Linked DNA regions of Caenorhabditis elegans. The protein of the gene in region 1 interacts with the protein of each later gene in a pairwise test. Each region holds a gene or a part of one and is shown on either strand. Other genes may lie near its edges.

Region 1 (6,331 bases):
TTAATCTGTTGAGGGTGTGGATTAGTGTAAATTCCAAGCAATCAGATGACTGCCAAATAGGGGATAAGTTGGCTTAAAAATTAAGAAAAGCTTAGAAAACCACTTTCAAATAGATTAATATATTAACTTAATTGGTATAAAAATGCAATTTCTTTGCGCTCTAAAGTTTGGCGAAAAAACAAATCTTTGATTCATAGCCTTTAATAAATAAGTTTTCAGATTGCATTGAAACAATTAGAATCACATGGTTTAGACACAATTCAAAAATCCAGTCAAGATTGATTCATCCGCACTATAAAATAAAATATTTATAATCATTCACGAGCTTTGCCATAAAATATCTGTATCTAGAGTAGCAGTACTGAAATTGCAAATGGTGGCAAAACTAAGAGTATCCATATGTGTATTTGATTAACTTGTGGTACAATGCATAATTAGCAATGGTTTTGCTTGATTGTAGCGGTTAAATGCCGGTTTCACGAAACCTAAATGTGGTTAATCCAAGGTATATTCAAATATTAAACTTTTGTATTTTTTATTCCGTGTTTACCCGATTACATTCATTTTAGATTTGATTCATTCTCTCGATTCAAGAAAAAAAAACAAAGAAAAACAAGGATTTCTAAAAGAAAACCCAGCTCTATTTGAAATCTTTTTCCCAAATTCCTGGTAATGTACAGCACGGCGGTTTTATCTTTCCAGAGCTACTCCCTCGAAGAAATCTGAGTTGATCCAGAGAGATTAGTGGTTAACGTTTAGATAACACACTTGATCGAACAAGCCGCCACCACGCTGTTTTTCGGATTATTGATATATAGTTGTGATTTTCAACAGATTAGCAAAGGATTTTGTAAAGCTTATCGTCAGCGTGCTTTTTTCTTTTAATTTTTTGCACGAGCAAGACACCCACCCTCGCTTTGTGCAAATGACCCTAGTTCATTTGAACTATAATATTATTGAAATTTCCAATCAAAGTCCATATCACTAAATTCTGTAGATACTGTACAACATCCGAATTGTGAAATCTGATCGTTCTTGGCGCGAAATCATATTCACCCCCTACGTTAGCCCAAAGTACGATCACATTTCTATCGCAGTCGTCTAAAATCAAAATCAATTCAGGGTTCATTAAGTGAGCGTCGCATGACCTACGTGATAGAGCAATTAAACTGAAAAACCCAAACGTTCGATGTCTAAAAATATCATTCCAGAGAAATGAAATACATTTTCAGTAGACCTATGTGCTAGAAAATGTGGAAAAAATTATCATACCACCACCATGACTATTGACAGTGAAAAAAGAGATTTTAAAACTGCAAAAAAGTTTTAAAAATTTAGTTATTAAAGAATTGAATCTGACATTACTCCAAGTCTTACAGAGTTATGTAGCGTTATGTAGGGCGAAAATTTGAAATGATCTGTTGTTATAATTGTAGTGAAACATATATTTTGATGTTCTTCTTTCTTAGTATGATAATCTGCGATTTTTTGTAGGAACGAATTTATTTTTGGTTGAAAGTCAACGACTACAAGGAATTCGAATATATGTTGGCCGTTAATACATTTTTATTTTAGAGGAAGTTTGCCTTTTGACTCAAATTTTTTTCTGTAAAACAACAACACATGTTTAATTTGTTTACAACGTTTAGCTACAGTCCCCTAGGCCACACACTGCTGAAAGAAAAAAAAACAAAAGTAACTAACAAGTTTGGGGTCATAGTACACCAAGTTGTTTGTTTGCAAAGTTTTTTGCCTGAGTCTGTTCACTCCTAGAGGTGTACGGTACTGTTGACACCACCATACATCATTCGGAAGTAATTTGACCTACATTTTGAGCTCACTCAATGTTATCAGAGGTCTTTGTGCGTTGCACACATCACGATGCACGCACACTAAGTCAAGGCAGCCAAGGAAACAAAGTTTCGGGTATTTTTTGTCGTCAAGAAATGAACACGGCACGTGAAGGCGCATGTGAATGAGAGGATGCGTTGCACCCGACCGTCACCATCGAAATTAAAATTGAGCTACGCATTCTTTGAGTGTTTGCACTTTTTGACATCCCCGTGTTGCCATATTTGTGCTTCTCCCAATCAAATTGCTTCTTTGCTGACATCCTCAGAATTTCTTCCAAAACATTTGTTCCTTGTACCCTCTCAAGGAATGCTTCATCTTGATCCTTCCCACAAACGCATGCTACCCTTACGAGATCCCCGCAAGATTCACATGATTTCAGTGATCGGTTGACAAAATGGGGGAAGGCTATAACCTTCTGCTCCAAAACATGGGCGGAGCTACAGAGCTTATATCAAAGAGCGCCACTTCTCCGGGCACCCTAGCACCCACAGTGGCTGAGGTGCAAAGAACACACGCTGACCGCGTGTTGGAGGCGGCGCGTCGACTCCTCCCTTTCTGTCAGACAGAACGCCCCTTTTCCTATATCTTCCTTCTCGCATTGCAGATCATACCACAGTTAACGACACCCTCGAAGATGGTCGCATGGCTCTTTTACATATTTTTTGTTTAATTGTGTATTTGTTTTTGTTTGTGATAATTTTCACTTACAGTATTCTTATATAACCTTCTCTTAAAATTGATATTTCATTGCTATATATATTAAATTTACAGTCAACATCTCTACCATGTCCGCAATCGTTGAAGACATGTACTTGCTTTCTTCATCCATGAAAATGGAAAAACAATTCCGCAAACGCCATCACTCGGATTCTTCCGATGTAAGTTAAACTTCTGTTGTACCCTTATTTTACTAATTGTTCTTTTTCCAGGACGATTCTTCAAGCCCGAAGTCGGCTTCTCCATCCATGGATGATGACCGTCGTGCACATCACAACGAACTTGAACGCAGAAGACGTGACCATATCAAAGATCACTTCACCATTCTTAAGGATGCCATTCCACTGCTTGATGGGGAGAAATCGTCGCGAGCCCTGATCCTGAAACGAGCAGTTGAGTTCATCCATGTCATGCAAACTAAGCTCAGTAGTCAAGGAAAAGCCATTGAAGATCTCACAAGGAAAAACGAGCTTCTTGAGGAAAGGCGTAAGTTACATGGATATCTAGTGGATTCATGAGCTCAATTTCTAATTTTCAGTGCTCGAACGCGAGTCTTCCGGTTCTCCATCTTCCTCTCGGCTTCCAGCTCTTGCTGTTAGCTCAAGCCAAATGCAGCTCACCATGCCAATTATCCCACAGATGCAAAACATTGCACAGCTGTCTCAATACCCACAACAAGCAAAGTAAGTAAACAAATAAATTGTTCCGAATCTGATTTTAACAATTAAGTATTTTCAGTATAATTGCTCAATCCACAAACCCAGCTCAATTAGATGGGCTTATTGCTCTTAACAATGATGCCATCTTGGCTTTACTCGGAAGCTTTCAAAGCGTGAGCCCATCGCTTTTGGATTCTGCACCTGGTACTCCACCTTCTGGCTTTTATCCTTGTGCATTTTCTCCGGTTGATCAACAAATGGCAGTGAAAATCTAAAAACCTTCAAAAAGGCTTTTTTATTTCTTAGATACCCCCACCCTTCGAATTCTCTAATATTTTTTGATCTCATTTACTCGGTCGTCATGAACCCTTCTTCGGACATTCCAAACATCCATTCGGTTTCTCCGGACATACATGGGTTTCACGTGTACTTTAAGAATTGCCTGCTTGATCTGACAATATATTATTTCAGTTTTTTTTACTCACTGATTTGTTCCAGTTATGATATCTTATTTATTGATAATGCCGATAATAAATACTGATAATAAATATTTATATCAACATTTTTTCAACACCAGTAAAACACATTGCAAAAAATTAAAATTTATAAAGGCACCCAATAGAAAGTCTTTCAGCTACCGTAGTTCTTTGCTGCAAAGTAAACAGGTTGTTACTTTTCTTGTCAACTTTATTTAATGGTCAATATACGCGTCAGTAGTCGTATACTTTAAGGATTTTTACAGAAAAAATATTTATGTCTATTCCTCTGGACTTTTGCATGGGGAAAAGATTTGGATTTTAGTAGTGGTCATTTTTATAGAATTGAAATGATGAAAACAATGCTTTTTACCACTTACAAATTAGAGTAACTATTTTCCATTATACATAACAGAGATCTGCGACAAATTTGCCGAAATTGCCCAGCAAGAGAAATTTCCAAAAAGTGGGTTTGCCAAATCTGCCGAGATCGGTAAACTTTGAAATTTGCCACACACATCACAAATTCGACTAACATAATTTGACCGGAACCATTGATTTTGCTCCAAAACTTCTAGTTAAGTAACATGTAAGCAAGACTTGTACGCAGATAGACCACACGGATCTTGTGAAAAAATCAAAAGTATGCTTAGAATTCACCATTTTTGGTGCCCCATACAATATCAAAAATTATCACATTTTTTCGAGCTTTTCCGGCAAATTTGCCGAATTTGCCGAGTTTGGCATATACTAGAAAAAAGAGCTCGGCAAATTTTCATTTTTGCCGCACACCCCTGGTAGATCTAAAAAAATCTGAATACACATAGCACTACATTGAAAGCCAAAAATCTTTGGAATAGGTTTGCTGTTTTGAAATAGGTCGTTTATTGCACTTTGCTCCTGCAATTCTAAACAAGCATGCTCTAAAACATGATATCAACTCAAAAAGTACACGGTACAGTGCTCTAACGTTTTGTTGTAGTCAAATCATATTTCATCACGTATCCAAAAAAAACCGCTCTATTCCACTTTTCTTTCTTTATAATGTGTGTTCTCTGAGGCCATTTCGTAAAACAATATGCGAGGCATATCATCACACGTGTCATCAAATGACTTGATGATATGATTGGTTCAAAATATCAAATGCGAGAATCGCATCGTAAGCCAACGGAAAAATAGTTGTTTCAATTCAAAACACACTTGAGAGAACGAGGACAGTTCACTGAACAACTCAACATTGAACCTTCAAGGAGGAATATCGAAGATCGCTGGGAGTTTGTCAATGAAATATGACGAATATGTTGTGATACAGATTTATCAAGTTTTGCAGTTGTTCTTATTTTCAAGAAAAAAAGCCTTCTGAGAAATTATATAAAATTTACGTTTTATGAGGACCGAATTGTTCGGGGAGAATCAAAAACTTTAGCATCTTTCCCAGGGTGCGCGGCAATAAGACATTTTTGGCAGATGGACATTTTGTCAATTCCTAAAATTAACAGGGTTTGCTAAGAATTGACAATTGTTAAAAAAAAAAACGTCAAAAGTTGTTAACTGCATAAGTTTCACAGTTACTTCTACAATAAATGATTCAGTTACGCTTTTTATAATTCAAACAAAATTTATTTAATAACTGAAATTATCCGAACAAATACAATACATGCGAAACAAATACCACAAAATTTCCCTTCTTCGCCGAAGAGAACAAAGTTTTGGCACAATTTGGAAAAGATTAAGGTCTAGAAACCGTAGAATGTCGATAAAAAAGTGACAGGAATGGTTGAAAATGAGATGTGGTGACATTTAGCTTACAGATATTTTTTGGAATAAAAGTTTACAATGAAACACTAAGGAAGAAATTAATTAAGATTGAGGGGAACAAAACCAATGGGTACCCGTGAACATGTCGGGGAGCATGTTGAGCATGACTTGCACGAAGAATGCGATGACAATACCCAACAGACAAAACACGTTGTTGGTGAAAGCCACTGATTCGAAGATGTTTATATGGCAGAACATAGTCGGCACGAAGACCGCAATAGAGCATATGACACTCTGCAAAAATTACAATTTTTAGGACTTGAAAAATTATGAAGAGATTGGTGAACTTGTTGCTACTTTTCTGTTTTTTTACGTGTTAACAGTTTTCAATAAGTTCCATCAAATTTGTGTTTCAGTGATGTAACATTCACAGTGAAACATCACACTTTGGCTAACCAAGTCACTAAGTTCAGCAGACATGATTTATCAGTTCTGGTAATCGTAATTTTCACATGTCTAGTTCCTGGAATCGAATCCTGCATATAGAATCACTTGCTCAGCTGCTGATGTTGTAGCACATGTGCGAGCAATTTATGACTAGTTATTTTTGCAGATTTCAGCAAAGTTCATTTATTACGATGTGTCTCTACTATGTGTTATGTGCGGGGCTGACAGAAAGTTCGATTTTTCTTAAAAATAATTATAATAATTTAAACAATTTTTGTGGATTTAAACATTTTCAACAATTGTTTAAGAAATTTCTTATCATGATTGAGACTAATTTTCAGAAAACCTCAAGACATATTTATGGGGTGTAAATCGTATTGGCTCTAAAAATGGGAAAAGCTATGAATTCTTCTAGAAAGA
Region 2 (7,952 bases), 540 kb from region 1:
CATACCTTATTACAACCTTCTTTCGAACACAACCGTCGCCACTGCTTGCCATTGAACTTTTTTCGAATACCGCACTGCGTCGTCACGATTTCACCTTTTTTGAAACGTTGCTGAATAATAAAAAAAACATTGATGATAACAACATATAAATCTTACCTGATCTAACATGGCTTTCGTAGCACAAACTGGAGCGTTGATACTGTGAAACATACTTGACTGCGGCGTATCTACGTCGGCCTCGAATATTCCGGAATCTTGCGATGGATTCACAAACAGTGACCGTGAAGCAGCAGATGATACGGTGGTTGGTGATGGTTCACCCGACTGGTCCTGGAAAAAAAATGATGATTCAGGAGGTGGAGTTACGAGAAGGATTACCGTAATAAGCTTCAGACAATAGAAATACCTAATACTCATTGCCTTATTTTTTATTTTTCGAGTGGATAAAGAGTAAATGGAGGAGACTAGGCGTCGTTGTTATTACACTAACACTATTAGCAGTTTTTGTGGAATCAAGATTACTAGTGATTGATGAATAGATGGGAGCTGGGAAGAAAAGGATTTGACTTATCAATTGTTAACGAGAAAAAATCTTATTTCTCAAAAACCCCACACTCAATAATATAAAAACGATGACGTGATTCATCAAAGAACGTTAGTAAGGTAAACGTGTCTTTTAATAGGGTAGGATTAAATTTTCTTGGAGAAGTATAAAGTGCACGTCATTTTCTTGAATGATCAGTAACTATTTTTTTTATGAACAAATGCGATTTATAGTGAAACTATAATAAACATAATTCGAAAATATTTTAATTGCACATTTCCCGTTGTGAGAAATTTTGAGGAAAAAGTTTAGAAAGTCTATCAGACCCATCAGAAAAAAAACATTAAGTGGTACAAAGCCTCACGAAAAAGGAAATGAAAATTTCAAAAATTGAAATACACCATTGGAAAGTAATGAAATAATTTTGAAATTGTTATTACTAATAATTGATATACAAGTTTCAAATCTATACCTAATAGTCACAAATCGGGAAAAATTATCCTATCAAATAATTATGACCAAAATACCTGATTTGACGACTCTGGAAGCTCTTCGTCAGAATCTATTGAAACAGTTTTTGAGCTCGATTCCTGATTTGAGGTGCCAGGTTGTAACGGTAACACTGGCACGATCACCGTACCAGCCGGTGATGCGTGAGTAACAATCTGACCTGTTGAAATGGGTGTCGGTCTGAAATCAGTTTGAATATTATTCTCAACAAACAAACGAACAAATTTATTATTTCCTTCAAACCCATAATTTTCCCACGCCAATCTTCTGCACTTAAAGGATAAACTTATACTATTTAAGTTTGTTGGTATATGTCGCTGTGTTCACTCAATAATTGTGTACTCGAATAAAATGACACAATGTTATAATGAAACCGGCGTATATGAGAAATCTGACATTTTCAAAAATTGCAAGTAACTTACATGGGAGTGATATTAATGACATGTTGTAATTGCTGTGAACGCCGCTGCTGTTGTTGCAGAGCCATCAATAAAGTAACGTTGTCTTGCGAATTTGTGTTTTGTCGGCCGTCTTCGCTTGTGCTAGGTAAGGACATTGAAGATGTTGGTACACTGGAAAATTTTATTGAATACTGCTGCTTAAAAACTTTAAAATGAAATGCTTTCTAAAAACTGAGTAATTTGCATTTCAGTTATCATTTGAAAAATCAAGTCCGACTAATCAATATTAGAGTCAAAAACAAAAACTATTTTTATCTGATAGCTTCAAAAAGTGAAAACATAAACTCAAAAAATATTTCTTTAAAGTTTACCCTACCTGTTAGAAACCCGTTGTGGATTTATTAAATCCTCATACCAGGGCGGCCGGAGCAATCTCAAATTTGCCCGAGACACTAGACTTGAGTAATTTGCGTTGGTCACTTTCACCTGCAAAAAATTGGCATTAATTAATGTACTTGCAAGTTCATAGTTTTTGCAAGAAATCTAGTCTAGTACCATAAATTTCGGCGGATTCCCGTTGCTTGATTGAAGTTCAGCCGTTCTGTAAATTGTTTCTGACTTCTCCAGTGGTAATCGTACTGCCAGAATTGTGTTTGAGACAAGTGTTGTTAACTGAAATATGAAGAGTAATAAATGTTCTTGAATATATTTTAACTGATGGGGAAAGGTATCTTGAAATTTCATTTTTGAAATTTCTTTAGTGTTATTTGTTAGTAAAATGAGGTTATCTTTATACGCCAAAAAATTAAAACTTACGTCGGAAAGACTAGGAGCCTGATCGGCAATCACCATTGTCAAGTTAAACTCGCTTGTTACATAGTCATATCTAGCTTCTCTACCATCATCCAACTGAAAATACTTTATTTTATTCTTTATGTGCTCAAAATCCACTAACCTGCACAATTATATCGCGGTTACCATATGCAGTTTTCACAAACCCCGGCTGATATACACCAGGAGGCACTCGTGCCAAAACCCGATGTCCCAACCAGTCTACCAGAATAACGTTAGAGTTAACAGATGTCGCTGCGGCTATTAGATCTGTGTTATATTGTACGGGTATCGGATGGTGAATACGAGTAGCTGCAGGTGAAGGTAAAGGTTCAGCTGTGGTATCCGATGATGGTTGCGATGTCTGTGGAGGTGGAACGTCGTCTGAAGGTTGGTCTGAAAATCAATTGGTAAGGAGAAAATGCGAAAAACTGAATTAGTCTCACTTGGTGGAGAAGACTTCTGAATATTTAGATTACGTAAAATATCAGGGTTAAAAAATGCGGAGAAGCGGAACGCGCCGATTGGGCCAGCTGGTGTTGGCGCTTCTGGAACACTTATGAGTTGTGATGTTCAATGCAAAATATGGCGGGAATGAAATCAAAAAGAAGCAACAAAAAACATTCCCTACTATGTACAACAAAAAAAAACTACACTGACAAAAAAGAGGCGCCCATTGCACACCTATCCAAGCGAAAGTCCGGATGCGAGACCGAGAATTTATACGTTTTTCGGAGAGTTGCAGGAGAGCTCAAAAAGGGAACAAAAACCAAATGGAACACAGAAAGTTGTACTACATAAACTATGAGAAGGGTATTCCATTCAAAGTAAACCACACAAAAAGATGAAGAAAAAAGCGAAAATTTTTGTTATAAACGTTATTGACAGAGCAAAGCAGATGGCCAATCATCATTCGGGTGGGAATAATTTTAGGTTGCAGTTGGGAGGATGCACTACACGTGAACGGCAAAAGAATACAAAAATATTCTGGAACTTACGTGACGAGTTTGTGGGAGACAGATCATCTTGGCTTTCTGACGTGTGACTTCGAAACGCGGTCGCTGCCGCTGATGGCAGCGATTGTTGAGTGAGCAATGACGGAATGGCCGCAATCTGCAGAATCGGATAGATAAAAACGCTATCTTACGTCAAAAAGTATACATTCGTCTGGTTAGAAAAGATTATCCAATGATTTTAATCAGCTTTCTGATCAGTTTTAAATTACGTTTCTTTTTCTTTTCTGATCAATGTCCTAAAGTAAATAAATAAGAAATATTTGTTAGTTAGGGGAACAAAACCAATAAGTACCAAATATTTTTATACATATAAGTGATGAAACATATGTACTTATTAAATGTTCTCAATTTCATTAATTTCATTTTGTAAATAAACGTGGTATGGATTTTCTCCTGCTAGACTTCGAAATGATTATTTCCTGAACCCAAACTATAAAAATATTCTACAAGTTTCTATTTTTCAAAACATACAAAGATACATTTTAAAATAAAGGCATTAAATACCCAAATACCGAAACCCATTCTTGAGGAGTTGAAATGTTTCATTTATAAAATTACGAAATTTTCTTCAATTTTATGGAGTAAAACTTTAAGGAAGTTAATTGAAATAAATTTTTGGTAAATAATTCCTTTTTTTAATCAAAATAAATTGTTAAAAACTCAATTAGGGGGGAGCATGAATAAAATTTTTGCAAACAAATTTAGCTCAAACAAATGGTTCAAACCTTGAAATAACAGGATTTAAAACACAATCGAGGAGTACTAGAAAATAATAAGGATTTTTGACCATTAGCCTTTCAAAAATGTTTTAGTATAGCTTCCGAATTTTTGAACTTTTTAGTAATATTTCTGAATGAATAATGTTAACCTGCTAATTATTCCGGTCACTAGAATAATAGTAGACTCGTCGAGAAGCTGGAGACATATATAAATAGAGGTTTTCAAAACACTAGAATTAGAAGTACTAACATTATTAGAAGTCAAAGGTAATACTAGAAAGTTGCGCAAAAAAAATAAAACACGGTAATTTGAAACTAAAATCCATACAGATACAATTTTTCAGGTCAACCTAGTTGTGTTTTTAGTTGGTTCGTTTGGCAGAACGTACTAGAAGAAAACAATGATACTGTACCTGTTTCGGAGATCCGCCTTCTTGATTTTCCATCGAGATGATTTCAGGAACGATTTGCAAACTTCCTGTATAATATATATTTTTCAATTTGAAAAAATATGCAAGATAGTTCAACTGAAATTTAAATATTTTTATGGAGCCAAAATATGTACTCCACCCTACTCCAGATGCAAAGAGCATTCCAAAACGCAGAAAAAGAAAATACTTTCAAACTCACCTTGATTTTCAAAAAGACTCATGGAAAAAATACCTGACGCGTGTACTGCATGGGAAGCTGCCGAGCACTGCCTGCTAGTAGTTGCACATATCACAGATTGTGGGTCAGTCCTCCTAAACAGGACCTGAAATCAGGCTGCTCAATGAACAATGTGAGGTTTCCCGCCGAAGCGAATGTCTAGAGAACGAAAGGTTTGAAAAGATTTGAATAATTATTCTGATGAAAAAAATTTGAAGAAAAAAAAAGAAAAAATAAAGCTTTAAAAATGAAGCCTTGAAGATTAAGTGACTCAAGAACTAGAGGAAAATGCTAAGAAGTGAAATGTAATGGAACAGAACAACATTTTCGGAGAGTTTTATGATTTTCTAAATTGTGGGCGGATGATCTGGAAGTGACTTGAATTGATCTAATCTCAACCCAATGATGAGTGATTTGATAAGGGGATAAATGCCATTAGGATTTCGAAAAAAAAATTTGAAAACATAATCAATGGCTTCATAATGTGATGTCAAAATAACAAAAGATGATGCACTTCCTAGAATTATAATTGATATTCAACGTTCAAAATTTGAAAAACGTGATATTTCAATATTTCCACAAAAAGTTTTGATCAAGAATAAATCCTACCAAATTTTGAGGACATGTTAGTTCAGAAATTGTTAATATTTTTCGTTTGAAATTTCCGTGGTTATGTGCTAAAACTCGACATCTACATAAACAGTTAGCAATAGGAAAATTTTATTTAGGCTGTGATTTGATGAAAATATATATTAGGTTACTTAAAATACATAAGAACCCAAATTTTATAATTGTTTTAAAATTCTATTTAATAATGAAAATATCACTAGATATTCTCTTATTCCTTAATTTTTACACTTTAGACACGTTCAGATAACAATGTAGGTAAGCAAGGTGCTGGTAAAAATTTCTGCGTCAGACTCCAGTTCCGAGATATCAAAACGATATTCAGTGTTCTATAAATTTTACAACAAAAAAATCACGGTGGCACTGAAATAAGTCGTCGCTGATTTCAGGTAAGCTTTATACCATATTTTCTAATCCTCTAAAAATCTTTCCATGATGTTCTAAAAATAATGTATGGCGTAAATTTCGCACAGATTAGGGATGCTTTCGCTATTTTGAGAATTACCGAAGGATTTTGTAGAAAATCGGTTGCGACTAAAATTGATAGTCAAGGATCATTTACCTTTGCCAACGACGCGTATTTACAATACTAGAACAAAAACTACGTAACTGCTTACGTCGTCACCCACACCCCCTCCCATCACCTGAATTCGCCATCTAGATCCTGACTCGACCCGTACGCGTACACTGATGACAACATTTGTTGATTCTTCGTTTTCTTTTTTTTTTGGGTTAACCTAATACTTTGCCGTCATCAAGGCTAATTGTATGTTTTGTCGGGCAAAAACATCAGTTCATTCAGCGGTTGGCGAATGAGACTACGATCCCGACGGCAATTTTTACATGACACTTTTTTTTTCGTAATTTGTTGTCTTTCGGGTTGATCTAACATTTAATGAAATTGGGTTCCGAGACCACACCCACTGGAGGGTTCGCATGCAAATTGGGTGGAAAATCCGGGAAAAAGGTCGAACGCGGAAACTCTTTTAGAGACGGTGGAGATAAAGTGAATCATCCTTACAATTAGATAGTAAGAACCTTGAACCGAAAAAAAACAACATCATACAAACAAGAGTGGATAGTTTCCGTGATGAAGAAGAATAGACAAAAACGCACAGAAAATGACAAGAAAATTTTGAGAACCGGTTTCGTTTCATCTCAAGGAAATGGATGGGAAATCGAATTCAGAAAAGTGGGGGAGAATCTTGGAAATGAAAGTTGGAGTTAGATCAAGATGATCGTCTAGGCAATGTGGGTATGTGTGCAGACAGAGGAAAAGCTCAGAATAAAAGTTCGTGAGAAAGAAAGTGACGAGAATAATTCTGTGTGCAATCCCCGGATAAGAAACATTCAATCCGTAATTGAACAAGCTAATCGAAAAATGAATAACTCTGATGTTAGCTCTTTTAATGCAGTGATCTAAACTGCATGCTTCTAAAATGGTAGAAATTTATCATTATAAAAATGAAAACCTGAAATACTTATATTAGGAAGTGGGCGTGACTTGAACTTTCGATCTCAAATCCGGATTTTACTTCAGTTTAAGGTAATGTACTAAGTTTTAAGTTATTTTGAAATAAATGTTATTTTGAAATAAGTTGATGCCTATGACTAAATGTTCAAGTATTGCGAGCAAATTGAAAATAGCTATAATTCGATATTTTTCAGTACATTGACAGTACTATAGAAGCGATAATAGTCTTATAGTTACCACTTTTGTTGTTTGTAAGTAATATAATTTTGACAGGAATGGAGGGTTTTGAAACAAAAGGTTCCAATGAAACAAATTTATTGGAATAAATTTGAAAACATAATTGCGATTCTAGATCTAAAAACTTTTCTAATTTAAAGATTTAAAATGTGGAGTTTAAAAGGTGGAGCAAGTGGGGAAATTATCAAAAACAAGTCAGTGATCAAATATCACAATAAAATGTTTCAAAATAATTTGGAAAATTTTTTTATAGCAAGTCAATAAGTCATTCATCAAAAAAAAGTTCTACCCGTTTTTTTATCTAATTAAGTTTGAAATGTTTATATTCAAACAGTGTAGGTGTTCAAACATGCGACACTTTTAGATTTTTTGAAAAAGTGGCGCCAACTTACATTTTTGACAAGAAATGAAAACTTTCCCTAATTTTTTTTTATTTCTTATTTAAAAAAAGTTAATTGAATTTTTTTGTGATATTTGATCGTTGTAGCATCACAGCCATGGTTTTAAATATTTCCACCACTGACCGTACTCCAACTTTAAAAAATAAATGTAAATTTGTAAAAGTATAATAGTAAATTATCTTTTTACCTTGTAATTTTTCCATCTTTTTTTTTCTGTATATTAGAAAAATTAGTAAATTTACGAAATAGAAAAATAACAAGTTCAAACTGTCTTCTTTGTTAGCCAAGGATTGATGAAATATCTTTAAAAATTGTTGAAATCTAATCCAGGTTTAAGATTCACATGAATCATCTCACACAAATCTATGGATTTAATGTTGCACTATGATAAAATAAAAAAGACATGGGGGTACTGTAGATTTGAGATACTGAATGAAATTGAGGGATAAGAAACTAACAGTACGTAGGAGGAAGGAGAGGCGAGAGTGGTTATTTTTCTGTCTATCTACTTTTTTCTCGGTTCTACGAACAATAAAACGCAAGA

The links.
Region 2: the proteins of mxl-3 (region 1) and gei-3 interact in a two-hybrid assay, tested with the Caenorhabditis elegans proteins (one large-scale study listed by BioGRID).

The regions. Positions count from the first base shown.
Region 1 is NC_003284.9:13,347,099-13,353,429, reverse strand, and holds mxl-3 (Protein mxl-3), read left to right. Parts: upstream 1-2,625; 5' UTR 2,626-2,639; coding exon 2,640-2,732; intron 2,733-2,783; coding exon 2,784-3,057; intron 3,058-3,109; coding exon 3,110-3,254; intron 3,255-3,309; coding exon 3,310-3,505; 3' UTR 3,506-3,791; downstream 3,792-6,331. Other genes in the region: ptr-24 (SSD domain-containing protein), read right to left, coding at 5,567-5,758. UniProt on the Caenorhabditis elegans protein: Transcription factor which regulates the expression of genes involved in lipid metabolism in response to nutrient availability. Binds to the E-box motif 5'-CACGTG-3'.
Region 2 is NC_003284.9:12,809,173-12,817,124, forward strand, and holds the start of gei-3 (HMG box domain-containing protein), read right to left. Parts: upstream 4,468-7,952; coding exon 4,435-4,467; intron 3,400-4,434; coding exon 3,285-3,399; intron 2,835-3,284; coding exon 2,733-2,834; intron 2,683-2,732; coding exon 2,411-2,682; intron 2,365-2,410; coding exon 2,272-2,364; intron 2,128-2,271; coding exon 2,011-2,127; intron 1,942-2,010; coding exon 1,832-1,941; intron 1,627-1,831; coding exon 1,477-1,626; intron 1,235-1,476; coding exon 1,072-1,234; intron 331-1,071; coding exon 157-330; intron 111-156; coding exon 6-110; intron 1-5.